2 linked regions of the Drosophila melanogaster genome follow. The gene in region 1 interacts genetically with each later gene. Each region holds a gene or a part of one and is shown in the gene's direction. Other genes may lie near its edges. The genes, in order: pwn and Vang.

The links.
Region 2: of pwn (region 1) and Vang, changing one enhances a phenotype caused by changing the other (phenotypic enhancement), as found in Drosophila melanogaster (one study listed by BioGRID).

Annotation. Positions count from the first base shown.
Region 1 is NT_033778.4:7,280,717-7,296,199, forward strand, and holds the start of pwn (pawn), read left to right. Parts: upstream 1-1,855; 5' UTR 1,856-3,011; intron 3,012-4,952; 5' UTR 4,953-5,104; coding exon 5,105-5,312; intron 5,313-15,134; coding exon 15,135-15,483. Other genes in the region: Incenp (inner centromere protein), read left to right, coding at 1-421, 578-771.
Region 2 is NT_033778.4:9,096,213-9,112,423, forward strand, and holds Vang (Van gogh), read left to right. Parts: upstream 1-7,025; 5' UTR 7,026-7,363; coding exon 7,364-7,604; intron 7,605-7,671; coding exon 7,672-9,176; coding exon of another isoform or gene 9,177-9,257; 3' UTR 9,258-10,584; downstream 10,585-16,211. Other genes in the region: Ctu1 (cytosolic thiouridylase subunit 1), read right to left, coding at 1,099-1,924, 1,977-2,134, 2,191-2,238; CG8777 (uncharacterized protein), read left to right, coding at 2,382-2,474, 2,530-2,741, 2,849-3,041, 3,179-3,774, 3,840-3,917, 3,977-4,391, 4,442-4,624, 4,681-4,865 and 5 more; Pgm2a (phosphoglucomutase 2a), read right to left, coding at 11,186-12,794, 12,859-12,960, 13,022-13,182; tsu (tsunagi), read left to right, coding at 14,684-14,744, 14,834-15,270; Mys45A (mystery 45A), read right to left, coding at 15,459-16,211.

The DNA of each region.
Region 1 (15,483 bases):
CGCAAGGGCCTGCACAATCTGGCGGAGGAGCGCAAGAAGCTGCGTGAGCAAAAGCACCAGCAGGCTGCCCAGCAGCGCGAAGCCAAGGAGCGGGAGCGGGCAGAGCGTATGGCCAAGCTGGCCGCCGAGCGCGCCAAGAAGCAGGAGGAGCGAAAGCGAATTGAAGAGCGCAAACGACAAGAGCTGGAGGAGCTGCAGCGGAAGATGCGCCAGCAAGAGGAAGCCGAGGCGCTCAAGAAGGCCAAGTTCAAGGAGCTGGAGCAGCAGAAACTGCAGCAGCTAACCGGCGCCAAGCCCAAGAAGATGCTTCCGCCGCCGCCGAAAACCAAGTACACCTGGGAGATGCTGCACGAAGACGACTCGACAGACGACGAGGGAAAGGTCACCCACAAGCGTCCCCCAGCGCCCACCTGGAGTCGAAGTAAGTTTGTGGATCATTTCGAAGAGTTATTTTCGAGATACCTTATTCATCGTAAATATATACAAGTAAATACACCAGATTACAGTCTGATTTCCATTGGGACTACTAAAGGAAATGTTCTTAAATATAGATTCTGACTTATGTGTTTATTTTCAGGCCACGTAAGGGGAGAGGCAATTGCTATGCAGAGCCACTGCCCAACCGACATCATCGACAGCTTTTTCTCGGTGGCGCCCACCACACCGGACCTAAAGCAGATATTCCCGAACATCGATCCCAGCCAGCTGAAGCGAAACTCCAGCGTGCTGTGGTCCACGCCGCCGCGCTATTCCGAGCTGCCGAAATACTAGCCAAGTAGTCCTGCTCTCTTCTCCCGTAAATGCACATGTTTATGATCGAATAAATAAAGTTAATTGTGAAAATTAAAGCGGAGTACCGCTGCGCGATTCACTGCGACTCTGACACTAATATCCAGCTGCTTTAGAACTATTAAAGCCGCCAGCGTGCTCAATTAATGGTTCGCTGGTGGCTGCTTGCCGATTCCATTAGCCAAGTTGCCCAACAATGGATACGTCGATTCGTGAAAAGTGTGAAAACGCAGAGGAGGCAAGTAAACGAAATAAAAGAAAACAAGCCCGGCAAACACAATTTCACTGGTCATGGGGCATGGTTTTGTGGCATGATGCGCAGACGATCGAAAAGACTGCCTCGATTCGATTCTCCTCCATCATGTTTCCATTGCTGCTAATCCCACTTTTCCAACGAGCCATTCTCATTTTCAATCGAAAGCCGAAATCAGCGGAATCGGCATGGGCAATTGGCACAGTAATTGCTGCTGATTAGAGTCGACTCCATGTGGAAGTCGCCGCGGATCCACCCATGAATATGATTCGATGGGACCATCTTAATCCGCAATCTAATTAAGGCGCGTACGCTCCCCAAATTGCCACTTTCAATTGTTACTGTTTCCGTTTAAGTGCACTCTGTTAGTAGCTCCACTTCCCCACGGACCCAAGTCGATTGGGGCTGAATCTATGTGAATTCCATGTGGCACATTGGATACTCTATCAAAAACTGTAAGGAAAGATAGTAACACATCTAAATGAATAAGCTCTAAAATTCCATCAAATGCCACTTTTGTGATCCATCAGTTTGCAATTCTTTAGAACTTTTGAAAGACCAACTTTTAGATTTTCCCATGTTGGTCTTCCACCTGATATTACAGCCTAACAGAGTTGCCATCAGCATGCCAAGTAAAAGAAACTTTTTGCAAAATACAGCATTTGCAGCTCCAAATCAAAAACCTATTTTGAAGAATCGAACTGAAGACTGGCTGCGTAGTCTTCCACTCGCGGGCACTCTTCCGAAGAGCGGCCAAGCGAGTTGCGGTTTCTCGTTTCTTCGGCTCTGCGCGAAGTCTTCGTGCTTCGCACGAGTCAGTTTGAGTCGAGCGTTCGAACGGTGCGCACCTGTTGACGGTTTTCGGTAGGTGAGGAGCGTGGATTGTGGCCAGAAATTGAAGAAGCCATCGCCGGGTTAGCCGACATCGGTCCCGTGTGCGTGTGTGAGTGCGTTCGAGTCTATGAAAAGTGAATAAGTTAACTTAGGAGGCTCAGGCCAGCGCTGCGCATGCGTGTGAGTGAGCCAGAGAAAGAAATGAGTGTTTTTCTCCAAGTGAAGCAAACGGCCAATATGTAAACGTATGCCGAATAAATGATATTTGTGCGACGCGCGTCTGTGTGTGTAGACAAGCGAAATACATACATACATACATATATATAGTACAAACCCCAAGGCGGCAGCAACGAAAACTTCAAAAACTTTCTTTTTTTCGCGCTACCTTTTTGCTCGGCTGGCTTAGTTGGTTTTGTCTGCGGCCTTTGTTTACTGGGCTGCTGTGAAATTGCTTGCAAATTTATAATTTGTCCGCCGTTTCACTCCCAATTAGAGAGAGCCACTCGGGCCCAGGAGTGCCGAGAGCATTAATTGGGCTCTTTTCGCGCAAGAATCAGCGAGGCTGCGCATCGCGCATCCGCCAGGTTGCCCCAACCGGATACGTGGTCCGCTGCAACCTGTCGGACGGCCTACACACGTCCGTCGACTGCAACGCGACCCGCTACATTGCTCCAGGCCAAGTCCAAGTCCAAGTCCAAGACCAAGACCAAGTATACTGCCCACTCCCGATTCGCGTTCCAGCACTTGATACTGTTAGTTGTGCCATTTCGAGAGCACTTGTGCCAATTTTCCAGGGGGCAGCTGTCGCTTGATTTTGCTTTTCGATTATTCAGAGTTAAGCGTTTTGCATTCCTCGAAGCCACAAAACCGCATTTCCACTGGGTTACCCGGTCCGGTTGGGGCCGAATCCGAAGCTGGATTTGGCTGCGTCGGCCAGATCCTCAATTTGGTGTGCCTTGTCGTCTTTGCAGTTTGCAGTTTGCAGTTTAGGCCGCAACCAACTGGTGAAATTTTCCATTATTGGCGTTATTTATGTGCAAAATCTAATTGAAAATAACGTGCATTAGAGTTGCACGCAAAAACATCAATCAAATCTCGGGGATTTCAATCGTGTGATTAATGGAAACACTTTGAGGTGAGTCCGAAATGGAAAATCCAGATACTTGGTTAACAAAAATCCCAAGAGTCTTGCGTTGGGAAATTGGCAGTACTAATGGATATATCGCACAATTACTTATGCCAACCTTTCGACAGTCATAAAGATCGTGCCTTATGCAATTTTCGATTTCTTGTTTTCTCTTTCTCCGTCGATAAGTCTCAACTCCCTTTTTCATATTTACCTTTTCTTACACCTTCACCTTCCTTTGGCGCTTTGCCGGCTCAGAAATCGGTTACGCAACGGACGAGCTCCGAAAAAAGTGGCTTATGAAAAATCACATGAGTCATTTAACTGAAGAAGACTGAAGAAGGCGAGAGAAATGAAAACTAATTACCAGCCGCAACTTCCGCTGGGTGCTGAGAGTCCAAGGCCCGGGACGAAAAGAAAGCAAAGTTGATAAAACCAACAATTATTCCAATGAAAATGTAAACAACCGCCAGTGTGGGCGAGTCGCTCAATGGAAAAGCACAACAATCCGCTGAAAAGTGGATTCGTTTAATGACAGCCCAGAAAGCCACAGAAACCGAAACAGAAACACAGATGCGAATGGCCCACGAAGCAAATAGAGTTTGTTGTGGTTTTGCTCTTCTGGCTGCTCACGTTGAACTTTCTATTTCACTGGGATTCTTCAAGCGTACAGAGCAGATATTTCAAGGTTCCTTTCGAGCCCGAAATGCGGAGTAAACAAACGCAAAGGCCACAAGCAAAGATCTGCCAAAATATCTCAGACTCAGACCTGGACTCGCGTCATGACTCAACTGCAGGCGGCCTAAGTCCGACCGGTCCGATCCGATCCGGTCTGAGATCACGTACACATATACTCGTACGTTGTGTATTCACTCGCATGCTGCAGAAGCAACCTTTACCTTTCCTTTCCATTCGCTACCTCCGTTGCCGCTGCTCTGGATGCTTTCACTTTCCATCTAATGCCCGGCAATTGCTTCAGTTACTGCGGTTTGCGACACGGGCCTGTTTTGGCTTCTGATTAGCACGCCGGCCATTGGGTAATCTCGGGCAGCTGGCATCGATTAGGGCAAGGACAACTGGCGACAGATTATCTGCTCCAGATGATGGCGCTCGTGCTCCGTGCTCGCTGCGGAATTTCACTTTTGCTTTCTGGCACCTCGAATTGAGACCGGACTTTCGCTGCAGCCAATTTCGGAGCGTCTTGGACATCAATCAAAATTAGCATTTCAATCAGCCGAGTTCGGTTAGTTGCTTGAATGGAACGCTTCAGTTTGCGTAACTGGCAAACAAATCCGAAGTTTTTCTTAAACTGTTTTCTTTCCAGCCGTTTAAACGGCCGGGTTTATTGACTCACTAAGCCGCTGCTTATGTAAATGCTAATGCCACCATTGTGGAGTACTGCCGGTTAATAGGGGATTCGACCCTATGGCTGTCTGACGCAATTTAGACAACCAAAGCAGTACATTTAACTTTTTGGGCCATTAAAGGGAGAAGTGATAAGGCCTATGTATATCTATCTAATATCTATCTAAGATGTTCGGAACTAGAATACTTCATACGAAGTTAGCATTACCATTGAACAGTTGAAAAGATTCTATGAAATCAAAAGACTTAAGGCACGAATTTTATTATTGATTTGAATAAATGAGAGAAAGGGGTCTGCATTCAACCGAAATCCCCAAGAACTAGTGCGAAAACTCTTCCAAATCAAAAAACATCAAAATAAACATCAAAAGCATATTTTACTTTTGTGTGTGATTAGACAAAAACTAATTCCCTACGATATTTGACGCAAGCAGAACACTTTAGCCACAAAACGCATATCATTTATTTTAGTTTTTGTGCTTTTCGACTGCCAACCACTCTCCCAAATCAAAAGACTTAAGGCACAAACCCTAGAATTATTTTCGACCCTAACGCCTGTTTGACCACCTTTCTCCTTCCTTTCAGCATAAATACACTCGGTCAAAGCAAAACATGCCTCGCCAAAGCACGGTTGATCAATAAAACAACGAAACGCCGAAAATAAATAAAGTAAACCCTGACAATAACCCTAAAAGAAGAAAAAGAGTGTGCCCGCGGAACTCGTAGTTTATGCAAACATGCGACGAAAGCCACAGAACTTAACACACTCTATACCATCGAGTAGAGCCGGAGACAGAGGCGGAGGAGGAGGAGGAGTAGGTCGGGGCACCTCCCGGCCGTCAGCAATTTCCAACAATAGAAGGCCGAGAGACCATCGACACTTGATGGCCATGGTCGTGTCGACGTTGCCACTGGCTCTTTTGCTGCTCCTCGTTCAAACAACAGGTAAGTCTTGGCCAGAAGCGGGTACAGTACGGGGAGAGGGACAGTGACATGCCCAACAAAAGAATTTCACATGCATTCAGTTAATAAATTGAACTTTAATTGTGAGGCCTGTGCCAGCAGACAACTTTCACGGGTTCAAACAAAGTGGGAGGATGAAAGTTGAGATAAAGCCAAGATCTTGTGTTGATATTTGCATAGTTTTTTCAATTGATGCAAAATTGACTGGATTTGTCCTCATTGGAAGTTGCCCAATTGGTTGGGAAGGTATATGAAAATCAAATGCACTCTTGTGCAACAAGAACCCACTCCACCTTGCGGTCATCTGAATCGAATCTTCCTACTTTTCTCGCACCTCTGCATCATCCAAGCGAATCTCTCGCACTTGTTCTGAGTGCATCTTATCTCAAATAAGCATATGTTTTCACCGAGGGTTCTGCTCAAGCGAGCATTTAGTTATTACAAGCGAACAGCTTTTTCCACACGTGAGCATAATTTTAATTTTTAATTTGATACATTTCTGAGGAATGTTGGTTCACAAAAAGCAGAAAATCAGAAAGAATTCGCCCGACGTGCCAGCACTTGATGAAGATGCTTCAGTCAGCCAGAGGCATTCCTCGCCAGCACTCGTACGTGATTGTTCTTCTCATTTTCGTCTGCTGGCTTTTAGAAAGCTTGCGTTTGCTGCATAATTTATTAGGCGTTACTGAGAATGCATAGCTTGGTGGGGGGGGGGGGGGAATCGGATGGGTCGGGGTACTTGGTACCTGGTACTTGGGTGCCTACCTGCCTAACTGTGCCAAACGTAATGAAGTGTGCTAACTGTACTGAGTTGGAGGTGTCAGCACCCCCGCACAAGTGCGTTCAATTGTCGAGCACGCCAAGAAGTTAGCTGCTTCTCTTTTTTTTGCCAGTGAAATACGGGCTTGACCTACTAAAAGCCTAGATATGCCATCTAGGTGACACTTTTCGAGAGGCTTTGCAGCCCCTAAACTGGGTCGATCGCATCTACAGCTGGGTTTCTAGTGAAGATCAAAACTGCGCGGCTATGATTCATTGGCCAGTGCCCACGGAGGGTTAGCTCAAGTTGCACAATTGCGATTATTCATACCGGATTCATTGACTTTTGCCTGGGCTCGTCTTGGGTTTTTTGTCTTTGGTTTGTTTGGCTCCACTTCGCTTTGTCGCTTACGAAGTGCGTGACGTGCGTGAATCGAAGCTAATTAAAGTTTATTATGACTTGGGCTGCGTGGCTTATAATCGTTAACTGAGCTTATGCAATATGTGAAAATGAAGGCGTCATCAGGCGCTGTAATTGGGCACGTAAAAACTAATGAGAATGACGGAGGGTAATGTAAATATCATGCATTCCTAACCAGAATCTGCAAAAACCAGAATGCTAAATACACAATTAGTTAGAAGCCATGACTTAAGCAAAGTGGACACTATTATGACAATTCTCAACAATTACGCATTTCAAAGTGATGTCCATTCTAAGTGAAAAACAGCTTGTAAATTTAATTTGCAGATGGTCGATGAGTTAAATGAGTTTATAAATGAATTCATATATTTAGGCTTACATAGGTAAGGATTCTCTGAAGAACTTTCTGACGCCATTTCTACAATTTTTCTGAGCATAATAATTAATATGTCCACTAAAAATTTAAAAATAAAAGCCTTTGCTAACTTTGCTACCTTTTGGCGAATAAAAATGCATTATAATTTGAAACATTTTGATCTGTAGCTAAGCTGGGGAAAATAGTGGTGTGTATTTTAAATAAATAAAAAGCATTTTTTGCAGTCTTTAAATAAAAGTTAAAGCTTTGCTAGGATTTCACTGCTTCTGTATTGTTTGCTAAGCTGCATTGAGTGTCAGCTTCCCATGTGAGCTGTACAATTGGTCCGGAATGGCCCTAACCAGGAGTACAGTGGAGTGGATTTCGAGGAACGGCTGCCATAAACTTATGCATTCCTATGAATACCTGCTATTTCCTCCGCCAGGGGGAGCCACTCCACTGAAACCGCTTAATTGCACGAATCCGGCCAACTGAGGCGGGCAGCTCTCGGCGGGTTGGAATCAATTAAAGCTAACTGCACTGTTTACTGGGCCATTTGAAGCCGGGCCCAAACCTTTCATGCAGCTAATAAGCCGCATTAGCATTGGGAATGGCGTATGGAATTTACATAGAGCCGGGCGGGAAAATTGGGTGAAGTGAAAATTATTTTACAGCAAGCTTAATTAAAAGAAAACAGAATCTCGCGGCGCCGGACTGCTTAGTTATGGCTTAGTGAGACAGAAAGAAGCGCAGCAGTGCCACGGTTAACAGTTACACCCAGCTAACGGCTTTTCGGGGCTTTCGATACGATACTCGCAGCGAATTGAGCCATTGGAGGCACTGGAAAAGTGTCAAAGAAAGCGCCATGAGTTGGAGCTTTGGTGTCCGTCTTCCCGGCTCCGCACTTCCAGCATCACTCAGTCAGCGAATAGCCGACTCAGATCGATGGATTCGATCGGGTTCGGTGGGGACACTGTAACCACTGTAGCTATGACACTCTAACCCGCTGACTTACTGCCGCAACCCGGTGGGTTTTTCGATTTCATTCCCCTTTTTTTTCTGAGCGTTCCCTTTCCCGGAGAGCCCCTCATTATTCACAGCTGCTAAGCTGATTAAATTTTCAGATTAGCTGGTTCCACGGGCAATTTTCCCTCGCATTTTTAGTTCTTATTTTATTTTTCGGCATATTTCGGTTACATGGCCCACTTGCCACAGGTGGCTCCAAAGAGCGAGAGCTGCGTATAAATAATCAAAAATCCACTGCCTGATGCGAAAGAGGAGGAAGAAAGAAGCCGCCGTCGTTGCAGGCTGAGCAGAAATTTATCGCTTGACTCTTAATTGGGTCAAGAGGCAGGTTCGTTCGGCAGGTTTCTCACATATTCTCGATCTTGGTTCGAATTTCTGGGTGTTCCTGGTGGCCTGTTCACCTGTTCACAGACTGGTATTGCTGACGCAATTAATAATTGAATTTTTTGAACGCGGTACAAAAAGATTGTAGCAGCTGCCAGAATGGTCGAAAAAAGGTACTGACTGATTGGAAAGCAGTTGCTTTTCTTTATGTATGTATGTAGTTCTCTTCGGTATCCATAATCTTTAAGAATTCATTGGCCCACCAAAAATGGTAATGAAAGAAGTTTCAGTCTCAGAATAAATCAAGCAACACCAATATCTACATACCAATATCTAAGCAGACCGGCTTTATAGCTTTGGAGGTAAAAACCCTCCAGCAGATTAGTTCTTCGGTTCCCTTTTCACCCAGGCGATATGAGATGCTCCAAGTTCGTAATCAGCTCACATGCTGATCGCCAATAATCAATTTCCAGGTCCAGCTCTTCCCCACCCTGACCTGAGCATTCAATTAGAGCCGAGCACCGACTGATCTTGAGCTGGGTTCCGATTGCCCAATCAAAGCGTGAAACCGAAGCCGTATCAATAACTGCATACTTTCCCTTTCCCGTGAGAAGAGCAGTGGCTCTCGGATCGGGATGTCCAAAATTGTACAATGAAATTCAGCACATCGAAAGTTGCCAGGCACGATCGCACATTCAGACACACACCCATCGGCAGGTAAAGCCAACTGAACCCACAATTTATCTCGTTTTGCGTGTCTCTCCTCTTTTATTTTATTTCTTTGGCCCCTTCCGATCTTCTTTAATGGTCGTCCTGGGGCGCTGTGAACCCATATTAAATTGCGGTGGGCTGTGGGAGAACAGAGAGGCTTGCCGCCCGAAAGGGGGTGGGTTGGGTGCCCTTGCCTGGAGTCCCTTACATGTTTTGGCGTGGACTATCAATGGCAATCAATGAAATTCTCTTTTTGTGCTCTTACAGTATTTTATTCGGGAGACCGCCACAAACCGGTTCCCAATGGAATTTTATAATCGCAGACTCTCCATGATTTTGGACCCAGCTAGTGAATTCGGCCAAAACAAAAAAAAAACATGAAACCCATGTCACAGGAAATGTCTGACAAGAAGCCGTTAGGGATTTCATATGATTTACGCTTTTAAAATTTATACACGGCATATTATAAAAAAATTCTATTACTATAAAATGTAATGGAACTAAACTAAATTACTTGTGATACAATTATAAAGAAGTATGTAATTTATATATTTCCATGTTTTCAAGAACCACGAAGGTTTTCCTATTTCCCATAGCAAAATCGAAAGACTTAAACAACGAACTTGACTACTTCCAGCTTGCAGAGTATATAAATTTCCCTACACATTCCAACCTCAATTAATAAACCAAAATAAAAAGAAATGACAAAAAGAATCAAGCATAAAATCCGTTAAATGGGTGCAGTTAGCTGACTGTCCAAACAAAACAGAGACCCAAATGACACAATAATACCCACGCTCACTCACACTGGTGCAGCTCACCATTTCTATTTGGCACGCAGTTGGAAATAGTCCAATAAAAAGCTGCCTGACTGACAGTTTGTATATAAAGTGGCGTTCTTCTGTGCAGAGAGCCGGTTCTGATGACCACTTGTTGTGGACTCTTATTTGACACACACCAACACACAGGCAGTCCTGAACTTGTCACAGACCATTAAGACCATATTGGCTAGCAACTAGTTTCCGTTTGGCGACTATACTTAAGCCGGCTTCTGTGGGTACAATGACCCAGTTTCGCTGGAGCTGGAGCTGTAAAGATGAGAAATATTGCTATGGGAAAACGCATAGAGAGAGAGTGAGAGAGAGGTATCCATTTACCTTTCAATCAATATGTTTCGAGCTCGGCTCAACTCGGCGTTAAATTTGACGCGAATGTTGGCCAGCGGTTGCCTGGAGCGGGATCATCATGTGTTTTCCATCTCTAATACGCGCTATTACATATCCAGTGCTCCATTTCTCAACAGAATCTCTATAATGGATCATTCGGATCTTGGGGCTCCACCGCCTTCTGCAGCACTGGGTTACTGACCCAAGCCAAGTTATTGACTGCTAAAGTATTCTCATGGCGTGTTTAGGGGGCTGCACCGAATGCGATTTCAACTATTTACCAGCATTCCCCAGGAGATCGTGCAGATCGCTTATCGCCAGCTAAATTGCAGCTAGTTACAGGGCTTAGTCTGGTTCTGGCCCGGCTATTAGAGGCCTCGACTCCGTTCGCTGCCACCTGCGACTTAATTAAACATGAGAGACAATTAGATTTCATAAGTGGAGGCCATTAAATCGGGCCTGGGATCCCTGCGCATGCCCCGGATTGTCTATTGATATCCGAGGATTTCTTCCAGCTACTTTGCACTGCCGCGATTAAAGCCAGCAGAGCGCGTCCAGGCTATAAATTTCCCCATTCAGTTTGGGATTTTGGCCTGGCTTAAACTCGGCCCACAGCAGGCAGCAGAGCGAAACCAACTGCAACAGCCGCATCTGCGGAAGCCTGACCAAAACAGAAACGCAGCCAGACTGCAACCGCTTTTAGCTGTGCCTCCACTTCTACCTCGACTTTGGCTCCGATCTCAAGGCGGTTAGATCAGAGCTAGACCTTGATTAAGGTCATTCGCTTTGGAGCCACGTCTGAGGGCCTAATACAAAGGATGCAGCCTGAGCACCGAGAGAAAATCTATGGTCAAGTAGGAAGATCAAAGAATAAAAAAATATTCCGGAGAGATATAGTTTAAATTTGGCTTTGTCGCTCGATTGAGACCATAGACATACAAAAATTATTTCTCAGTGCAAGCAAAAAATGCACTTGGATAAAATTGTTTAAACATTTCGAACTGGCAGGCACGCGTTTGCAAAGGAAAGACTCTCGTGCACTTCCAAAGGCCAAACGTCATGGTCACGGTGGCTGGAAAAGAAAAACCACAGAATATGGATACGGAAAATCAGTTTTCCAGCGAAATGCTTCAATTTCCCCAGACGCTACTTTGGGTCGAGTGAAGTGCAGGCTGTCTTAGGCTGCCATGTGTCGGCTGTCGTCGTCACTTTGTTAATTGCAGCTCATGCATCTCGGCCCGACTTCCCAGAGACGGAGAAAAGTCTGGCCAAGACGCTCTTCAAGTTCTATCCTGGCCAATTGTTGGTACCAACGACTCTTGAGCAGCAACACCAGCCAGTTGACGGTTTGATTGCACAAGTGCTCGGGACCGGGACACAGATACTTTATTTGCTTTGCTAATGAAAAGCGCGAGAAATGACTCGGCAGCTCCCACGGATCGGATGAGGGTAATCTGGACAGTTCGCACTAGAACCCACTGTTCAACGGCTTTCCCTGGCAATTGGGTTTCACGGGCGACCACTACCTCAGACTTGGCCACGACGCCCACAACGAAAGTGGAACGCCCAGGAAATCAATTAGCACTAAATCAAATTTTTAATGCTCCACTCGGACGTTAGAGATCGCCGAGAGATCCGTGTATTGGATTGGATTCAGTTCAGTCCGTCCCGGCGGTTCTAGCGCTCTGCATTCGGGGCGTGGCTGCTGCGATGGCACTCCAAGATAAGGGACTGACCACATCTCTTCTTTAATGGATGTCTTCGCCGCGGGGTCCGCGGATTTCACAATTGGGCGGCTGAGTTATGTTTACGGGCCAATTCAAAAGATGAAAGAAGCTTAGGATGGGAAAGTATTAAAATAGAGAGGTGAGAGATGTGTTTGTGATTTTTTTCGATTTGTTTCCATAGATAGAAAATAGTGAGCTGGGATGGGACTGAGTGTAATAAAAGATGTAAATGAATCAGATTGTGTTCGGATTACTTGAAAAATGCAAATCATTGCATACATGTGGTTTAAAATAGGTATGTTAAAGCCCTTTTTACTTATTATAAACAAAAAGTATTCGAACTTTATACTTTTCATTATTTTATGCCTTAGAGAAGGTAGGCTCTTAAAAATTTTAACAAAAAACGCCAAATAAGTCACATCATGTTTTCCAAAGATATTTTATTGTCATTGAAATTCGCCTTCCGGCACAACATCGTCATTTAACAGCAATTACATAATTCTATTTATGGTGAAAACATAACGAATTGTCGCCCGCTGCCTCTCCATTAAATGATATTATTGCATAATCGAGCCAGCCTTCTACGCCTGCGCAATTGCACACCGAAAGTGGCCAGGGCATACATGTCGTATGCGCAACGTTTTGGGACGTGTGTTAAACTTTGAAGTCAAAACGGAAAATTGTCGTATTTCATAAGCAATTATTTGCGCCAGCTTTGCCCACATTAGAGGCGAGCAGGCGGACTTAATTTCTGTTTTGCTTTTGGCCACGTTGGGAAACAGTTGAAAAGTGCAGCGAAATAGAAAGTGATTTCTTGTCGGCAATTTGGAGGCGCTGAAATCGCCAATTTAAGTGGAATTGGAATTGGAGTCGTGTTTGGCGTTGGCCCAAAGCAGAAGGAATGGGCGCCCGTGTGGGTTGGTCTGGAGCTGGAAGAGCAGAAAAGAGCCCGAAAAGAGACAGGGCACAAGTCGTGCGTCCTCGCTGGAGTAGCAATCGAGTTAGTGTGGGCAAGCACTGGAACTAATGACGACTGTTGCTGGTGTCCCCATGCCGTTGTCAGATCGGGTGCATTCAACCCAGCCCGTCTGGATTTAATGGCCAAGAGATCCGGACGCCAAGTGGTTTTACTTTCGTTGCGGCCTGGCCGTGAAAGTGTTGCATGCCCCGCTCCGAAATGGAATTCAATTTTCGTTCGCCAAATTGCGTTACACATTTAGCCAGCTTTGTCCATGTCTGGCAGTTTTAGAGCCACCGGCTCACTTTTACCACCACCAACCCAATCAAAAAAAATCGCAATCCCAGACCCACTCACTTAGGCCCGAAATCAATAAAATCAAAAGGAAAACTGGAAAATGAGCAATTCGAAGCAAGGAAAGTGAAAACTGTGTCGCCGCCTTTTGTTTCGCCTGCCCAAAAGGAAGCGCTAATTATATCAAAATCGCAACAAATAGCTGGCGCGAAGAAAGTGAAACAAATATTTTGTATTTTTGTATCAGGGGCGAGCCAGTTTAGCGACAGGTGAAAGTAAAATCTGTGCCAAACTTAATCAAAAAACCACGACACTCACAAAGAGGCCTCAATGCAGCTCGGCAATTGGGTTAAGCTCAATAGCTAAACGTGTTTCTTCGCGCGAGTGTGAATTATGATTGTTGTTCCAACCTAAACTGGTTCTGGCCCAAAAGATGACATGCACCTGACACCCGAAAAATGGGGGAGAAAAGTCCAAAGTCGTAGAAAGCCAACGGCAAATAAATCTCATCGGAAGGTGTCAAAGAATAGCTGGGTCACACTTGAGTGCTCAGTGAGATATGTGTTTACGGTACGGTATGGAAAATTCACAGCTTGAGTGTTGATGGATTCAAATGCTGTGCCGAAGGGAATCAATAAAATGTTTCATTTTGACCTCGTTTACTTAAAACCCATTGTAGGAACACACGAGTATATGTACTACTCCTGGCCATCTATAACATCTCTACATTCAATTATAATTTATAACCATTGCTTTGAAGGCATGCAAAGTTACTCCGATCTGAATGATCAGATCTATATATAGATATATTTATATATGATATAGATTGCATATTCGATGCATTTCTCCCTGTGTGATTGGCGACTGGATGAGAGTGGAAAATTGCAGTAACGATGCGATAAGGGGTGCCCATTCGCGATCTCAGCGATCGACAAGGTGGGTTTGAGTGCTTGTCCCCATTCGATTGCCATCTGCATTCTACAAGTTAACAATCTATATTTAAGTTGCTTGTGGCGGGCTCTGCTCATTTATCTGCCATATCCGAGGAAATGATGAAAATCGGGCAACAACAACTCGGCCTGGCATCTTTTCAACGCTTGACGTAGCAATTTGTGAAATTCTTCCTAGGCTGCCAAGCGAGTGCAGATCTGGCCCGAGGCCACCAAACCAAGTACGAGTATCTATGTGGCCAAGAGCTTATGCATCTGTGTGCGCCGAGTACCCAGGGCAATCAACAATATAACCCTAGCATTGTGACAGATATGCAGCCATCAGCTTGCATCCACACACACTGGGTGCGCAAACCCACAATTTCGAAGGAAAACAAACACAATTATATGCAAAGAGAGTGAAAAGAATCCGAGAGGCCGGGCAGAAAAAAGACAAAGACTGCGACTCAGACTTGACATCGAAAACAAATGATGCCTGGCAAGCCTGCGACAGAGATTGAAACTGATCCGAGCCGACTTTGGATGGGTTGGGCATTGTTTCCCCCCACATGGAAATGAGTCGCGTTGACAATGACGGAGTGGCTGCTGGTCGGGATCGAGAGGGAGCGTAAGGGAAAGGGCAGGTGCATGGGCATGTGAAAAGTGAAACCCCAATGTGAAGATTCTGTCGATGCGATGATGGATTCGAGGGAAAACGAACGTCGGAATTCAACGCTCTTTTCACTCAACTCTTTCCCTTTCTTTTCGTTTTCTTGCGGTATAGCACATTGTACCCATTGAAGTATAAGACCCATATTTTGAAATTGATTTGATTGAATAATTTGAAAAAAGCGGCCCATTAAATTTGATTTCTTATTGATTCGAAGCAAGTGTGGCTCTCTTTTACGACCGAACATAACTTTTAAATATGCATTTTCAATAAAGATGTAAATATCTCTAAGTGATTGTATATTAAGTAGCAATCAATTATATTTACGGTACAGGATCAACGCCTGATGCTAATATTATAATGCCATTGAATCGCCTCGATAAGAATAGATTCTATACTTATACTTTTAACTGTTTTACACTGGTATCATATTGTCTAACATATTTCCTATCAATTTTCTGCAGCTGGCCAGCACGAGAGCGTCTCACAGATCTCACCCAAATCGAGCAGCCACCGCAGTCCGGACCGTCAGAGGATCGAGAGCACCATGGCGGACTCCGTAAACGGTCTGGCCGAAGGCCAATCATCGCCCCTGGATGTGAACGATAACGAAACGCGGGCGGAGCGAGTGGAGCGCTCGGCGTCGCCCATTCTGCATGATCGGCAGCCAATCGGACCCAACGATGTGCACTTCCCTGAGGATCTGGAAAAGGACGTGTCCGCCGGACGGTACTTCCACTACAACATCAAGCCCACGGGCACCTTCGACAACCAGGATGAGCAGCCGGAGCGTACGCACCAGGGGATCAGGGC
Region 2 (16,211 bases), 1.8 Mb from region 1:
TCTTCATTTATGAAAACTACTTAAAATTTCGTGATGAATGACCCTATCATCATCTTTCGACTGAAAATCATTTTGATGCTATACTAGTTTTCACTGAATTTTAAACGCTTTAAAAAAACCTGTTAAAAAGATTGTTACATTTGAATAACACAAATATATTTTAATTTCAGTTCATTGCAACGTCAATATCATGTATCAAACGTGGCTCACTAACACAGTGAAAAAGGTAATAATTCGGTTTAAGATAATAAAAAAATTTAGTTTAAATTTTATGTGTAAATTGGACAATTAATTGTGTTGTGATGAATGAAACTTACACCATCTTTCGACTGAAAAATGTTATGAAGCTATACGAGTTTTTACTGAAACCCCTTCATTTTATTATTTTTGTGTTTTATAAGTTTTTTAGAAAATCGGTTGCTGCTCTTTATAACCATTTAATTTTTGTCATTTTGCAGTGTTCAAGAAAACCACCTTTGATTGTCGCGTCATATGCCCAAACAAGGATCTCTCCTTTGAAAAGGTAAATTATACTCTAGAACGAAATAATATGTAAATGATGCTTTTAAAATTTCTGACATCTCTAATGAACCGTTGTGATTCAAATTTTTCTAATATAATTAACTGATCATTTTAAAATCGCTTAAACGATTGAGTTATATTTGAATAACTACTTATTTGTATTGTTTTTGATTTTTTTTTTTTTTTTACAGATGTGAAACATGCGTAGCAAAATGAATCCGTCAATGGTTCATTTATAAATTCCAATATCTAAAAAGGTTAGTACGAAAAGAGATTCTGTTTAGCGGAAATGAAGATTTCAATGATGATCACTTAAACCATTCACAGACACCATATAAAGGTCAAGCGCTGGCAATCTTCTTCAATATTCTTTTGGAGATAGAGCGTCTTGTTTGACTGGTTATGGGCCCTGGTTAAAAACTTGGCACTGAGCTTCATAATGCATTCTAGTATTAATGAAATTAGCCTGCGAAACCAAACTTATCGTTCCTGTTGTTATCTTTTCAGGTTGGCAACCTTGGATGAACACAATTTGTATCTTGTGGAATCACGAATAAATAAAATTCATATGTGTTCTTAAAAATCGTTTTTTACTAAGTTTGCTCGCTCCCGCAATGCTAGTTCCTGGTTCTGCTTGGCAATCATTCGCTCGCCCTTCGACTTCTTGCCTATGCCCAGCTTCGGCAATCCTCTATTTAGACCCTCGAGAAGGACGCACGCCTTGCACGGCTGCTGTGAGGAAACGAAGCCACATCGGGTGCATGTGCCACGCTCGGGCTTCTTTACCGTGTCCTTGAAGCGAAGCTGTTCGCCAGAGTAGATGATGTCCATTATAACCGATGGTCGCACTTTCTCCAAATCCTTGAGAAACGCTCGAGCGTGGCCGCGATACGCATTGGGGGCGAATACGCACTCCGTTGAGAAGTAGACCAGCTTTTTGTAGTGGGCGTACATCACGATTTCTTTCTCGTAGCTGTACTTGAGGGGCTTCACTCGGGGAATGGTATCCTCGCCCCCGCCGGTGCGGATGCTCGTGCAGCGTCGCAGGCGCGCCGTGTCCCCACGGAGCACGTTCATCAAGACAGTCTCCGCAATGTCATCTGCATTGTGGCCTGTGGCTATGCTATCAACGCCCAACAGCTTGGCCCCTCTATCCAAGGCCTGTCGGCGGAAGACGCCGCAAAATGTGCAGTTGTTAGAACGGCCGATCTGGGCAACAATGCGGTCCATGGTCCAGCCGTAGAGCTCCTCGTAGGACAGGATCTTTAGTGGCATCTGGTAGTCGTCACGGTTCTGTTTCACTGTCTCCAAACTGTCATCCCGATATCCAGTGATGCCTTCGTCTATGGAAAGGAGCACCAGTTCCAGACCGTAGTTATGGCGTTCGTTTAGCAGTTTTAATCTGTAGAACACTTGGATTAGAGAGGTGCGATGGGGGGAATGGTACGACATACACGTGCGCTAGGACCGTGGAGTCCTTGCCTCCACTGGCCGCTACGGCCACCTTCTCGCCACGTCGGAACAAGTTGCTGGAGGAGATTGTGTGATGGATCTCTGCCTCGAAGGCTGCGAAGAAGCACTCCTTGCACAGGGCATCGCCGGTTTTGGGTCGCTTTGGGCAAACAACATTATTAGGATTTATTAGGGGCTGTTTAACTTATGAACTACCTTCAAAGCAGCGCGATTTCCGCACTGCGACTTGCAGATAATGTGCATTTTTACTGACACTTAATTAGCACACAATTTAATTAACAGCTGTTGCACCTTATGCAGCAGTGACCAACACTGGCGTTATACAAAATCAAGTTACCCATCACTGTTTGTTTGGAATAGATGAAAAATAAATATAAATATTTACAATGAGCGCCGTAAAAGAGTCAAAAGCCTTGATCAAGGACATTCGGGAGACCATAAAGCTGGGCAAGCATGCGGAAGCCATACCCAAGTGCCAAGTGACGTCACCATAGAACATACCAGTTATGCATCATCCTAATGCCTTTATTGCAGCGCCTACTTAAATCGGAGCCTGAAAATGCTATGGGCTACTTGTTGCTTGGGGCAGCCTACCAGAATATCGACAAGGCGGAGGCGGCCAAAAACCTGAGGCAGTGCATCAAGTGCACGGATGGTCCGGCCCCTGCCGCGCTCCTCGGACTCGCCAACTGCGCGCCCAGCAACGAACTGCCTGAAATCTATGATCAGTTGGCTGACCTGCAACCGTAAGAATCTGCTCGTGACTCCCTGGTCATTATCCATACTCCATACTATCCATACTAGACTTTGTCATAAAAGGACTACTAAAGTGATCTTTACTTTACATTTTTAGAGAACAATCCTTGAACTATTGGGAAAAGCTTTTCAACTTGGCCTCTGACTCAAATGTGGCTCCTTTCTGCTTCACTGTACTTAAAAAGAGAGTGCAGGACACAGAGAATGGAAATTTTACGAAAATTCAGGAGTATCTGGGACGCATTTGGGTTTCAAACGACTTTGAAATTGCGCCCGAAGATACTCAGCTTGTAAGTTACCGTATAATTATTAATTTATTTATTAAAAATAATTTTGAAATATAAAGAATTATAATTGATATGAGCACTTTCATAGCTCAATTTCTTATTATAAATTAGTGCGTAATGACTAATTACACTTTTTTCAGTACAAAACGACTATGGAAGCTCTGCTGCAGAACTCTGAACCCAGTGCAAGGAGCGTGGTTTACAAGCGATACCTGAAGTGGCTTTACAAGAAGCAGGATTATGAGACTTGCGTGCGGCACGCCTGCAATATGACCGAGTCGCATCCCAAAGATGTCTATGGCTTCGAGTGGATATGCAAGACCTACTGCGAACACCACGAGCAATCCGAAATAGTTAGTTGGCAACAGGAGCTGAGGCATCCCATTCAGGTGTACGCTGAGCAGCTTCTGGAGCTTAATCCTAACTCTAACCTTGCTTTGTTGGTTAAAGCCCTGGATCTTTTCGCTGAGGGGCAGGTCGTCGCATCCAGGCAGTTGGCATTGCAGGCACAGAAAAGTCAACCTGCGTACAAAGTAACGCTGGAATTGCTGGCTCGTATCCACATGGAGCTGGGCGCATACAAGTTGGCCCTTCAGCTGTGGCAGGAAATTGGACAGGAAAACGACGCTTATGCTCTATGCTTATCGCACGAAAAAGGCGTTTCAAAACTAAGAGAAGCTGTCACGATTTTACAAACGCTTGAAAACTCCGAGGGCAATATTAAGTCTTTGGCTCGGTGAGCTTTTTATCAATAGTATTTGGTTTAATAAAATGCATAACAAGAGTTTATTTAATTTGCAGCTGCTACTTCAAGCTGGGCGAACTGCACTTGCTGAAAGATTTGCCCTTGGATGATCTGACCAAAGCAGAATTTGTTTTGTAAGTAGGAAATCCAAAAATTAAAGAAGTCAATCCACCTTTTCCATCTGCTATACTAGATCTCCATCTGAAGCTCTTCAAGAAATTGCTGACTGTAAGACTTTTGAGGCATACCTACTTTGTGGCAAGCTGCATATGGCGCTGAAAAACTATTCAGACGCTCTAAATTATGTGTTAAAGGCCACTCGACTGCGCCCACACTTTGCCGAGTGCTTTGACTATCTGGGCAAGCTGTACCCGCTGGCCACTGGGGACTTCTCACGAGCCCGCAAGTGCTACGAGAAGTGCATAAGCCTTAATCCCCTCGCTGAGGAAGCTGTGGATGCCTTGAGCTTTATCTACCAAGAACAGGGCGAGGAGGAACTGAACGAGACCCTGCTGCTGAACACATTGAGCCATTTGGGTAGCAATGAATCAATTCGATTGCAGTACAAGCTGGGTCTGCATTTCTCGCATGTGAAGAAGTGGGACAGTGTAAGCAATTGATTATCATTGATGAATCCGATTTAACACTTTTATTGCAGGCAATACAATGCTTTCGCATTGCCATTAAGAATGACTCCCGCTGCATTAGCTACTGGGAGTCATTGGGTGATGCTTATGCGGGACGCGGCTCGTACAACTCGGCTATTCGAGTCTTTCAAAAGATCCTTGAACTATCTCCGGAGAATAATTATGCCCTGCTTCAAATAGCTTCAGTGAAAACGGTGCCACATTCCAAAATTAACAAGAAAACATAAATAATTTTTACCCCATTTAATAGACAATACGCATGTACACTGAATCTATTGAAGATTACGATACGCTGCTACAACGTAATCCTACTTACCTGCCCGGACTTCGAGGTGCTGCTGAAGCGCATATTGGCATTGCGAATAGTTTGAAGAGCCAGAACTTGTACGGAAGATCCAAAGCGCATTTCCAATTGGCTCTGGAACACCTTCAAAGGTATTAGCTCAGCCAGCGATTTCGTGTATCTGTTGATAAGTTTTATCCATTCCTTACAGCGCCTTCCTTCAGCGTGAAGCTCAAGGAATGGTTTGGCTATGGCGCCTCTCAGCTAACATTTTCGTTCAGACAGCCCAGTTGCCGCATTCGTTGGCCAACTTGGATGTGGCTGGAAACCTAGCCAAGCGCGAAGAACCCATTGCATATCTTTCACGCAAGGATCTTCTACAGCTAGCTCAGCGCTTCTACTTGTGCGCCTTAAAACTGAAGCAGAATACGTACCTGTGGTACGAGCTATCGTTAGCCAGCTACTACAGTGCCATTCTCATACCCGAGGATGCAAACGGCCACTTAGAGACGGCGACTAAGGCGTGCAAAATGGCCATTAAGGAGTGTAGCAACAGATGGCAAAATTGGAATCTTCTCGGAGTTATCAATATGAACTCCGAAAATGAGAACTTGCCATTGGCACAGCACTGTTTTATTCAGGCTGTAGTGCTGGAAAAAAAGTGCTACACAGCGTGGACCAATCTCGGAGTTCTCTATATTAAACTGAATGAAGTCCGATTGGCCAACGAGGCCTTTACGAGAGCCCAGCAATCAAGTCCCGTGTACGCCAACGCTTGGATTGGACAAGCAATGGTTGCGGAGTTGATTGGCGATCGCGAGGAAGCCTTTGATCTGTTTCGTCACTGCCAGCAGTTCGATTACCATCCGGAGGCGGCGCTTGGATTTGCGCATTGGGTGTGCGAAATGCTGTCGACTCCTGGATCTTTCGACAAGCCGCGCATAAAGCATGCCATCGAACACATGTACGCTGATGTGCTTGCGCTGGATGCCATCAATTGGTAAGTATTATAGTAATGCCCTATCTAAAACCAACTAAAGACTTGCAATACATTTAAGGTATGTGCAAAACGAGGAGACGGATGCGACACCAGCATCGCTGTCGTTCCAGGGATTTCTCTACGCCCGGAAAAACCTGTATCGCCAAGCAATCGAAGCCTTCACTCGGGCGTGTAAGTTGTGCGAACCTGGAGCGGATCGTGACAAGCTCTACACGAATCTGGGATACCTGTACTTAAAAATAGACCAGCCGGAGCAGGCGGCACACGCCCTAAACACGGTTGCACATGCCACATTTAAGCCGATCATTGGCCTGGCCCAGGCATATTATCTAGCCGGTCAGTTGCAGGAATCCTACTCTATTTACAACTCCGTTCTCGGCAACGTGGTTGATCATGGCGATGACAAAGCAGCTACCATCCTCGTGGCTATGGCATCCATGATTTACGACTTTCAGGGCGAAGCGGACACCAAAACCCTACTCTATCAGTGGTTGGTAGCGCAATATTTGTTTTGTTGATTCAACATTTCTAACGTTATAATCACCAAAAGTGTCTTGTTGAAGGAGGTCCCCATTCAGGCGTTGTTTTCAGCCCTTGCCCTAGGTATACTTCATAGAGATAATGCGTTGATCCATACGATACTGACGGAGCTGAATGCGTACGCCTTTAAGAAGGAGTATTGTGCCGACATATCCTATTTAACGGCTCACTACATCCTGATAAATGTTCGTTAAAAGTGGTGAATGTTGTGGTTCTACAAAAGTAATACTATGATTTTGTTTAGGAGGGTGCCCGAAGAGCGTTGTGCTATCTACAGACTCGCATACGAATGTTTCCCAATTCCCGAAGTCTGCGAAGTGTCGTGCTAAAGTTTCTTCTTGATTATTTCTCTGATGACCAATCCTATCGACTGGCTACTTCAAATATGGGTCGAATAACTCTTACTCTGGGACACACTAAGCAACAAAATAGGTAAGACTTGGGAATTTATATACATTGTATTATGATAGACTGAATTTGTTTATATTTAGCATCTTGGCCAGCGAAGAGGCACTGACCACTATATATGCCAGTCAGGCGGTTAGTGCAGTAGACAAAACCTGTTCTATGAAGTTGTTGCAGCGCGCCATACTGCTAAGCCCAACTGACCAGAGAGCCAGACAATTACTTTCCGCTATTATTGCAAATTCATGATATTGTCCAACAAAATAAACTTACTTTAAAATTTAAACTATCAGTTTGGCGGTTGAATTGCCAAACTGATAGTGTTTGAAAACACTAAATGCAATGTGACCGTGCTGCTGATTGTGTTGCGGTGGTCACACTGCGTCGGGGGTGAAGCCAAGTCCACGAAAAAGTGAATAAAAAGCGAAAAATGTGCGAGAAATAGTTAAATAGCGTATGAAATAGCCATGCAAGACACGAATAGTGACAATGTGCCGCAGAATTAGCCGCAGATAAAGCTCTAAATCGCCTATAGGCTATGCACTGCGCCCTGCATACCTGCGTATGAAAAACCTGCTGCCGCCGCAATTACAGTTAGACACTAAAATAGCTGCACGGCCAGGTTGCAAGGTGATTTGGGGCACGTCTCTTCGCGAGCAGGAGATTCGGAATCGGGCATAGCTCTCGCGCGCTAGCCCAATTGCAATGGAAAACGAATCCGTCAAGTCGGAACACAGTGGACGCTCCAGACGCTCGCGGAATCACAACAACAACGGCGGAGGGGGTGGCGGCGGAGGTGGTGGCGGAGGAGGCAGTGTCAACAACGGCTATCACAGGGAGCGGGACCGCTCCAGACATTCCCACCGCAGCACACACTCCTCGAAGTCGGCCAAGGGATTTCAACGTGGCGACATGGCACCGTACCAGACCAGCGTTAATATGACAGGTGAGTTTGTTTAATGGCTCTATCGGTGGAAGGAAACCAATTGACCCATTTATTATTTGGGCACCAGGAGACGGCAGCCACGATGGCCAGGAAGTCATCGAGGTGCAAATCCTTCCGCAGGACGAGAACTGGGGCGAGAATACTACCGCCGTCACGGGGAATACCTCGGAGCAAAGCATCTCAATGGAGGACATAAACAACATGTGGCATCGTGAGAGCGACAAGGGCTTCAGCTTTGCGTGCCGCCGATACGTGGAGTCGAGCTTCTACTTCCTGCTGGGATGCGGAGCGTTTTTTTCGCCAGTGGCAATGGTGGTGATGCCGTATGTGGGCTTCTTTCCGTCGGCCTTCGATCATCCGGAAATAACGCAAACTGTTCGCACCCAGCTGCTGGCCTGCAGTGAGCAGTGCAAGGGCCAACTGGTATCGCTGGCCGCCCGGCTGCTGCTTCTGGCCATCGGCCTGTGGGCAGTGTTCATGCGACGTACATCGGCCACCATGCCACGGATATTCCTATATCGCGCTCTCGTCCTCCTTCTCGTCACCATCTGCACGTTTGCTTACTGGCTCTTCTACATCGTGCAGGTCACAAACGGGGCCAAAATCGTTGTGGAGACGGGCGGCGATGCCGTGGACTACAAGTCACTGGTAGGCTATGCCACCAATTTTGTGGACACTCTTCTATTTATTCACTATGTGGCCGTGGTGTTACTAGAGCTGCGACACCAGCAGCCTTGCTACTACATCAAGATCATTCGCTCCCCGGACGGCGTTTCGCGCTCCTACATGTTGGGTCAGCTGAGCATCCAACGGGCGGCTGTGTGGGTGCTACAGCACTACTACGTGGATTTCCCCATATTTAACCCTTACCTGGAGCGCATCCCAATATCGGTCTCCAAATCGCAGCGAAACAAGATATCAAACAGTTTCAAGTACTACGAAGTGGATGGGGTGAGCAATTCGCAACAGCAAAGCCAGAGTCGAGCAGTTCTAGCAGCCAACGCGCGGCGCCGAGACTCCTCGCATAACGAGCGCTTTTACGAAGAGCACGAGTACGAACGTCGTGTGAAGAAACGGCGTGCCCGTCTTATAACCGCCGCCGAGGAGGCCTTCACCCACATCAAACGCATTCATAACGAACCGGCTCCGGCACTGCCGCTCGATCCGCAGGAGGCTGCCTCGGCGGTTTTTCCCTCGATGGCCAGGGCGCTGCAAAAATACTTACGGGTTACGCGTCAGCAGCCGCGGCATACCTTTGAGAGCATACTGAAACATCTGGCGCACTGCCTAAAGCATGATCTGTCGCCCCGCGCCTTCTTGGAACCCTACTTGACCGAGTCTCCGGTGATGCAGAGCGAGAAGGAGCGACGCTGGGTGCAGTCTTGGTCCCTGATCTGCGACGAGATCGTCTCTCGGCCAATTGGCAACGAATGCACGTTCCAGTTAATTCAGAACGATGTCTCCCTAATGGTAACCGTACACAAGCTGCCGCACTTCAACCTGGCCGAGGAGGTTGTGGATCCCAAAAGCAACAAATTTGTTCTTAAGTTGAACTCCGAAACATCCGTATGACACCACCACAACGCCCCTCCAATCAACACTCCCACTCATAGCAACCAGACGCAATCGTCCTACTTGCATGTGTTTGTCTGATTTTCCCAGCTACTAATTCACATATTCACATATTTTCTTTACTTCAGCCAAATCGATGACGTTCTTGTGAGAACTGCCATCAGGGTAATTGAATTCATTTTTATATATGCCTGAAACACCACAACCAATCAAACCAAGCAATCAAAATTACTTATCAATGAACAAGAGGAGCATTTTTAAATCGATCAAAACCCTGAATTTAAAAAAAAAAAGAAAAAAACATGGAAGTTTAGAAAGGAAAAGTTGTTGTGAGAACAAAATGTCTAGGCAGGCCTCAGCAGCTAAATTTTGATCTTGTAACAAATGATTATTAGATGAGAAGGCAACGTACTTATCAGTGCTAAACTTGAACTTATGACCCGAATATCAAGAAACAATGCTCAAAAGCCCAGTGTATCATCCTAAACCGACGCGAACATATCACACCCTTTGATAAGCAAACATGACTTACAAGTTCCCAAAGTATTAATTATAAGAATGATGGTTTGGCTTGCCGAACCGCGATCTTCAGATATCAACTCTTAAATGCAGCTCTTTTATACACGATTTTTATTTTAGTAAATATGTTTAGTGTAAAGTTGGGCTTACTCTTCGCGGAATATCTAAAATTTTACCCGATATCTGTGAGGCGTGAGCCCGATCGCTAGCCTTAAGAAGGAATGGAGTGAGCCAAGGCAAGCCCATGGAATTTTAGCTAGGACTCGGACTTGCGTCGAAAGTGCATTGGCCACTTTTGACGCGACTTAATAAGATTTTACATACGCACATTTTAAGCCGAAACCGAATGGTCCTAACTCTTCTGCCACAAAGTTGAGAAACGACGAAACAACTATAACTCGAATGCAACTGATGACAAATACATAATATAAGCGAAGACTGCCTGAATATGCATTTTATACACACAAATTGCCAACAGCCACTAGCAGGTGTATGTACTAGCCTGTGCATAGCAACCACATATATACAAAAACTCGTGTATTTTTAGAGACAAAATTATAGTGATAAGGACCCGAATTCGTATTCGAACATGTGTACGTTCCAGTGAACCCAATCTATATATACATACATATATGATATATACCTATTTACAAAACTACTTAGAAACGTTTGCTTGAGGTTTGATTTCATTTTCGTTTTCTAGCTAAATGTCTTCTGTCGAAGCTCTTTTATATTGCAATTATCTAGCAATTACTTAAAGCAATTGGAAAACCAACCTAAGCATACATACCATTTATACATACATTTACTCTCAAACTGTAACTGTTGTAATTGTAACTAGCATAAAAAACAAAATGCGTAAATAAATCAAACCCACTTCTTTAACAGCTTTAAACGAATTGTTCTATCTCGAAGGTGACGCAAATCGTGGAAATGCGCACGTAATTAATTCATTCTTGGGGGTCTTTTGAATGTCTGAAAGTTGCCTTATCAGCTCGGGATTAACAAACAGTTCCTATATTGATTATTGAGCCCAGCAGGTTTACCAAATCGCACTGAAGTATAATGTATGAGTAGATTTAATCGCAATCAATCAAGTTTCAAGTTCTTTGTGATACAAAGACTCGAATGCCTCTCGAATTTCTATGATAAGAGTAATAAGCTCAATTAATTCAAGTGGAGTGAGCACGATGGTCTCATTTCATAAGCTACTTAAATATCAAACTGAGGAAACCCATGATTTGGTGCCTGGTGGTGGATGGTGCGTTCGCTTTTATTTACATTATTTCATAAATACTAGCCAAATGTGAGTGGAATACTAACATATCAGATATCCTTTAAACAATAATAGGCAACAGCTTGCGCTGCTGTTGTTTTTTGGCTTGTGCGTCGTCAGTGCTGTTGGTATAGAACTTTCAATTTTAGACAGGTCTACGTGTTAGATCTTTCGTCCCAGTCGCCTAGCGTATCCGCTTAAAGGTGCATTCGGATTATTCCTTCCTGCGCTGGAGGCCGTTCTTGCTTGGCTCGTAGAATTCCTCGACAATGGCCTCCACCATGGTATTCATTGTATTAGTCAGCTTGGCCCAGTTTTTCTCGTCCGGCTTGCCACACATTTCGGCGTAGTACTTCATCTTGGGCTCCGTGCCGCTGGTGCGTAGAGTGACCACGAGTCCGTTTTTGAAGGTAAATGTGATCATTTGGGAACTGGAGCTGGTCGGCAAGGTGGCCTTCTTGTCGCCAGTGCTACTGTCGAATCCCGTGGTTAAATCGCGAACGTTTTCAATCTCGTACTCGCCGTTAAGGATGCTGGTCGGATAGGTGTCTGCCTTGCCCTCGTCCCAGGTGCGCAAGCGCTCAAAGATCTGCTCGATGACCGGCGGGCAACGGCATATGACATAGGAGCTGACAGTCGTGTGGAACCCATATGTTTCGTAGATGTCGCGCAGTTTCTCCTGCAGTGTCATGCACAGCTTGCACCGAAGATAGCACGCCATAGTGGCCAAATGGCCAGCCGCGCTGACACCATCCTTGTCAAGTACGGTGGTGCCGACCATGAAGCCGATCGCCTCTTCGAAGGCAAACAACACAGTTTTTCCCGCCTGCTGTAGCTCGATTGCCTTGTTACCCATCCACTTGAATCCAGTCAGCGTTTCGAAGAACTGGAAGCCTTCCCGCTCGGCCATGGCCCTGAGAATCTTTGAGCTCACCGTACTGGCTATCATCACACAGTTACTAACATCGCAGTCGGGTTCTCGCATTTTGTGCAGCTCCAGAGACCACCAGCCCAAAAGAGCGCCCACTTCGTTGCCGCTGAACAGCTTATAGCTACCATCCTCGCGTACTTCGGCAACTGCCAGGCGGTCGGCATCCGGATCGTTGGCTAAAATTATTTGGCTGCTGTTGGCTTTCGCCGTTTTAATTGATAAATCCAACGAGGTCTTTCCCTCCTCCGGGTTGGGCATCGGAGTGGTGGGGAACTCTGGGTCCGGCTCCTGCTGCTCGCACACCGATATGAAAGGCTTAAGATTGATTCGGGCGAAAGCCTGCTTCACAAATGCATAGCCCACGCCGTGCATGGCCGTATAGGTGAATGAGAGAGAGCACCTTCCGTTGGCCTCCAGCGAAGTGCAAGGCAGTTGTTTCTTCAGTATATCGAAATAGGGCGGCACAACGATATCGTACGGATCCTCCAGCATTGTGTTCGAGCACATCGCCGAATCGTCCCAGGATGAGCCCTTGGGCTCCAAATTGTTTAGAATCGACTCCTGTATGCCCTCGTCGTGCGGCGGAATGATTTGGGCTCCATTGGTCCAGTACACCTTGTAGCCATTGTCCTCCTTGGGATTGTGCGAGGCGGTCACCATGACGCCGGCCAAGCACTGTAGCCTCAAGATGGCAAAGGGCACCATGGGCGTGGCCACGTAGCGCTTGAACAACCACACCTTAAAGTCGTTGTTTAGGAACACAATGGCCGAGAGCTCGGCGAAGCGGTGGCTATTGTAACGACCGTCATACCCGAAGACAATGCCACGACCGGACCAGTCCGCCGGATCAGGGTACTGTTCCTTGATGTACTCACATAAGCCCTGCGCCGTCCTGTAAACGAATTAAATTAGTCAATGATCCGATAAACTTAGAGATAAGATAAGATCAAACTTACTGAATCACCACCAGCTCGTTCATGGAGTCAAAGCCAGCCCGCATGCAAGCCCTCAATCCGGCCGTGCCGAAGCTGATGCGGGTGCACAGTCTCTTGCGCAGCCTATTTAATCAGCGAATTAAGAATATTAAGCCATGAATCATTTTGTTTGGATTATCCTTACGTGTCCCAGTCTTTCGCCCGAACTGCGTCCATGATTTGGCAGGCGGTGCTAGCGCATTTGTCCCATCGAATCCACTTGCGGATCTCGCCATCTAGCTCCGGATCGCCCGAAAGAGCCATGTTCTTGATCTCGCACAGCATCTGGCCGCCGGATTGACACATGGTGGCTGAGGTTTTTTGGCCAAAAGATCTATTTAATTTTATGTTGAATTTAGATGAATGCCGAACGGGAGCGGAGAAAAGGCAGCACTCGGTTGCTGACAGTGATGTCACAGCCCGGCAGCAAAGAAAAGCACACTGAGCTGCTACTGATGGGAGCGCAATTGAAGATCGACCGATCGACGTAGTGTTAGCCTGATAAAGTTCGCTGATGCGGCCACATACACATAGTCAGTCTGCCACGCCCCTTTATAAACATACGGCAAATTTTGACAAAGCGGACCCCGGTCAAATTTTTTTTATGCCGTGAGTTTGAGATGACAACGTGACTGGGCGATAGTGCGTCTTTTAACGATGGCATATTAACGTTTATATATGAAAATTAATAATAAAATATTTGTACTTTTATCTTTAAACACAGGGCAGATATAAACAGTCTAGTTGTCTAGCAAGTCTAGTTCTTAGTTTAGGCAGTTTTAAATTCAATTGGCATGGGAAACGGCAGAGAATGGGTTTTTGACTTATAGGCTGCAAGTAACCACTATTTGTGGATTGTTTTATATAAAGACCTATGTTTGTTGAAAATATGAGCAAAGTAACATATAATCTCGCAGAAGGAATTAAATGCGGCATTGTAATTGTGGGTTATGATGCATTTGCATACCCTTATTATTTCAGATTTTGGTAACTGAAATGAATATGTAGATGCATACATGAATCTTAAATCGCATACATCGAGTCGACTTTTTCGACATTCTATTCAAATACATTAATATTTGTATATGATAAATAAAATACTGAAAATCGAGTGACTAAAAGGATTGGATAAAAAAAATAAAAATATTAGGTTTGGGACAAACAGCGTCTGCAGTGTAATAATGCACGCTTTTCAAATGGTACTGGACCGAACTTATTATTTTTAAAATATACGCTGAATGTCAGCTGTTAATAAAAATTAATGGTGCCCTCAAATTATGTTTTACAAAAATATTTTACCGACCGATTAAGCACACAATTTTTAGCTCCGTCTTTAAATGTTCTATGTTAAATGTGTTAAATATATGTTAAAGAATTTTCAATGCCTATAACCTATAAAGCTAGAGTATTAATTTGAAAAATACATATTTGGATAAAACGCACCTAATAAGTCTACTTTAGATGGTTACAGAATAAAAAAGAACGGGAGAACTTAAGTATTTTGAAAGTCCAATCCTCCGGATCTTATTATTTTGCTAAGGTGATTTTGGCTGATACAATTTACCCTTAACTTCAACATATTTTATTAAAGCCAAGCTAATTAATTAAACATTGTACATTTTCGGAACATTTGTGGCCAATGTAAGTATTATTTTCCAAACATCCAGGCGATAGTATTCCTAACGGAATTAACCAACACTGACGATAATGCCATCTCCAGCAGAGTTTTTGCAACTGGCCAGACGCGGAACGAAAACGAAATAAAAATAAACCCATTCATTCTGCTTTTTAGACACAGAAAAAGAAAATGGCCGATGTGTTGGACATTGACAATGCGGAGGAGTTCGAGGTGGACGAGGACGGTGACCGTAAGTAGCTGCGGCAGGCTTTGTAATCCACCGGTCTTATGCTTTCTATTTTCTCCCACGCCGCGCCGTGCACCCTACGCTCAAAACAGAGGGCATTGTGCGCCTGAAGGAAAAGGCGAAGCACCGCAAGGGACGCGGATTTGGAAGCGACAGTAACACCCGAGAGGCGATCCACAGCTACGAGCGTGTGCGCAACGAGGACGACGATGAGCTGGAACCTGGTCCACAAAGGTCCGTCGAGGGCTGGATACTGTTTGTCACCTCTATCCATGAGGAGGCGCAGGAGGACGAGATTCAGGAAAAGTTCTGCGATTACGGAGAAATCAAGAACATTCACCTGAACCTCGACCGGCGTACTGGGTTCTCAAAGGGATACGCTCTCGTCGAGTACGAGACCCACAAGCAGGCGCTCGCCGCCAAAGAGGCCCTGAACGGTGCCGAAATAATGGGACAGACCATTCAGGTTGACTGGTGCTTCGTTAAGGGACCGAAGCGCGTTAAAAAGTCCGAAAAGCGTCGCAGATAAACGACTCCCAGCCCCAAGAATAATTTTTTAAAATAGTTTAATGAATAGGCAACCGTACAAAGTCTATATGAATTGAAATAAATCAGATAACTCTACCAACTACCCTTTATACAATCAATTGGTTAGAATTATATATCTTATATTGGTATTCATTTAAAGCACTACGAGGTTTGAAACGCAAGAAGGTACTACTTCATCTTTTTCTGATGCAGCAGATGTTTTCTCAGCGCCTGCTGCTTGTCCTTGAAGCTCTTCTTAACCTTGGAGCGAGCCTTGTGTCGCAGCATGCCAAAGTTCTTGGTTTTGCGCTTCTCGCGGTTCGTCTTGGAACAGTGCTCGTTCACGCGCCCATCCTTCCAGCCAAAGCGCTCGCGATCCTGCCGGCCCGCCTGCACAGTCTCCAGCCGCGACTCCTTGTCGTGCTTGCGCTTCTTGTAGATCATCTCGATGCTGTTCAGCTTGACGAACTCGGCGCGATCCTGTTCAAGTGGTCTCTTGCGGGCACTGGTTACGGTCTTCTTAAGATTAGCCGCGTTGATGCGCTTGAAATCTTCGTCCGTGAATATGCGAGTAAGAGCCAGTTCCTGTGCAGCCTCCTTTTGGTTAAGGATCCTCATATCTTTCTTTTCCTTCTTGGCCTTTGCGGACTCTTCGCCACTTTCCACGCCTTCGTCGGAATTATCTTCATCCTCATTCTCCTCGTCATTACTGTTCTCTTCGTCTTCGTCTTCGTCATCATCGTCCTCATCCTCATCTTCGTCTTCTTCATCATCGTCCGCTCCACCACCCTCACCATCACTGTGCGCCACGTTAACCCATTCACCATCGTTTGAGTCCGTATCGTCTTCGCTCTCTATGTCAATAGTCTTAGAGTCCTTGAGCAGAGCCTCTGCACCCAAGACAGTGTCGTGGACTTCGCGCTCTCCGTAGGCTCGAACCTT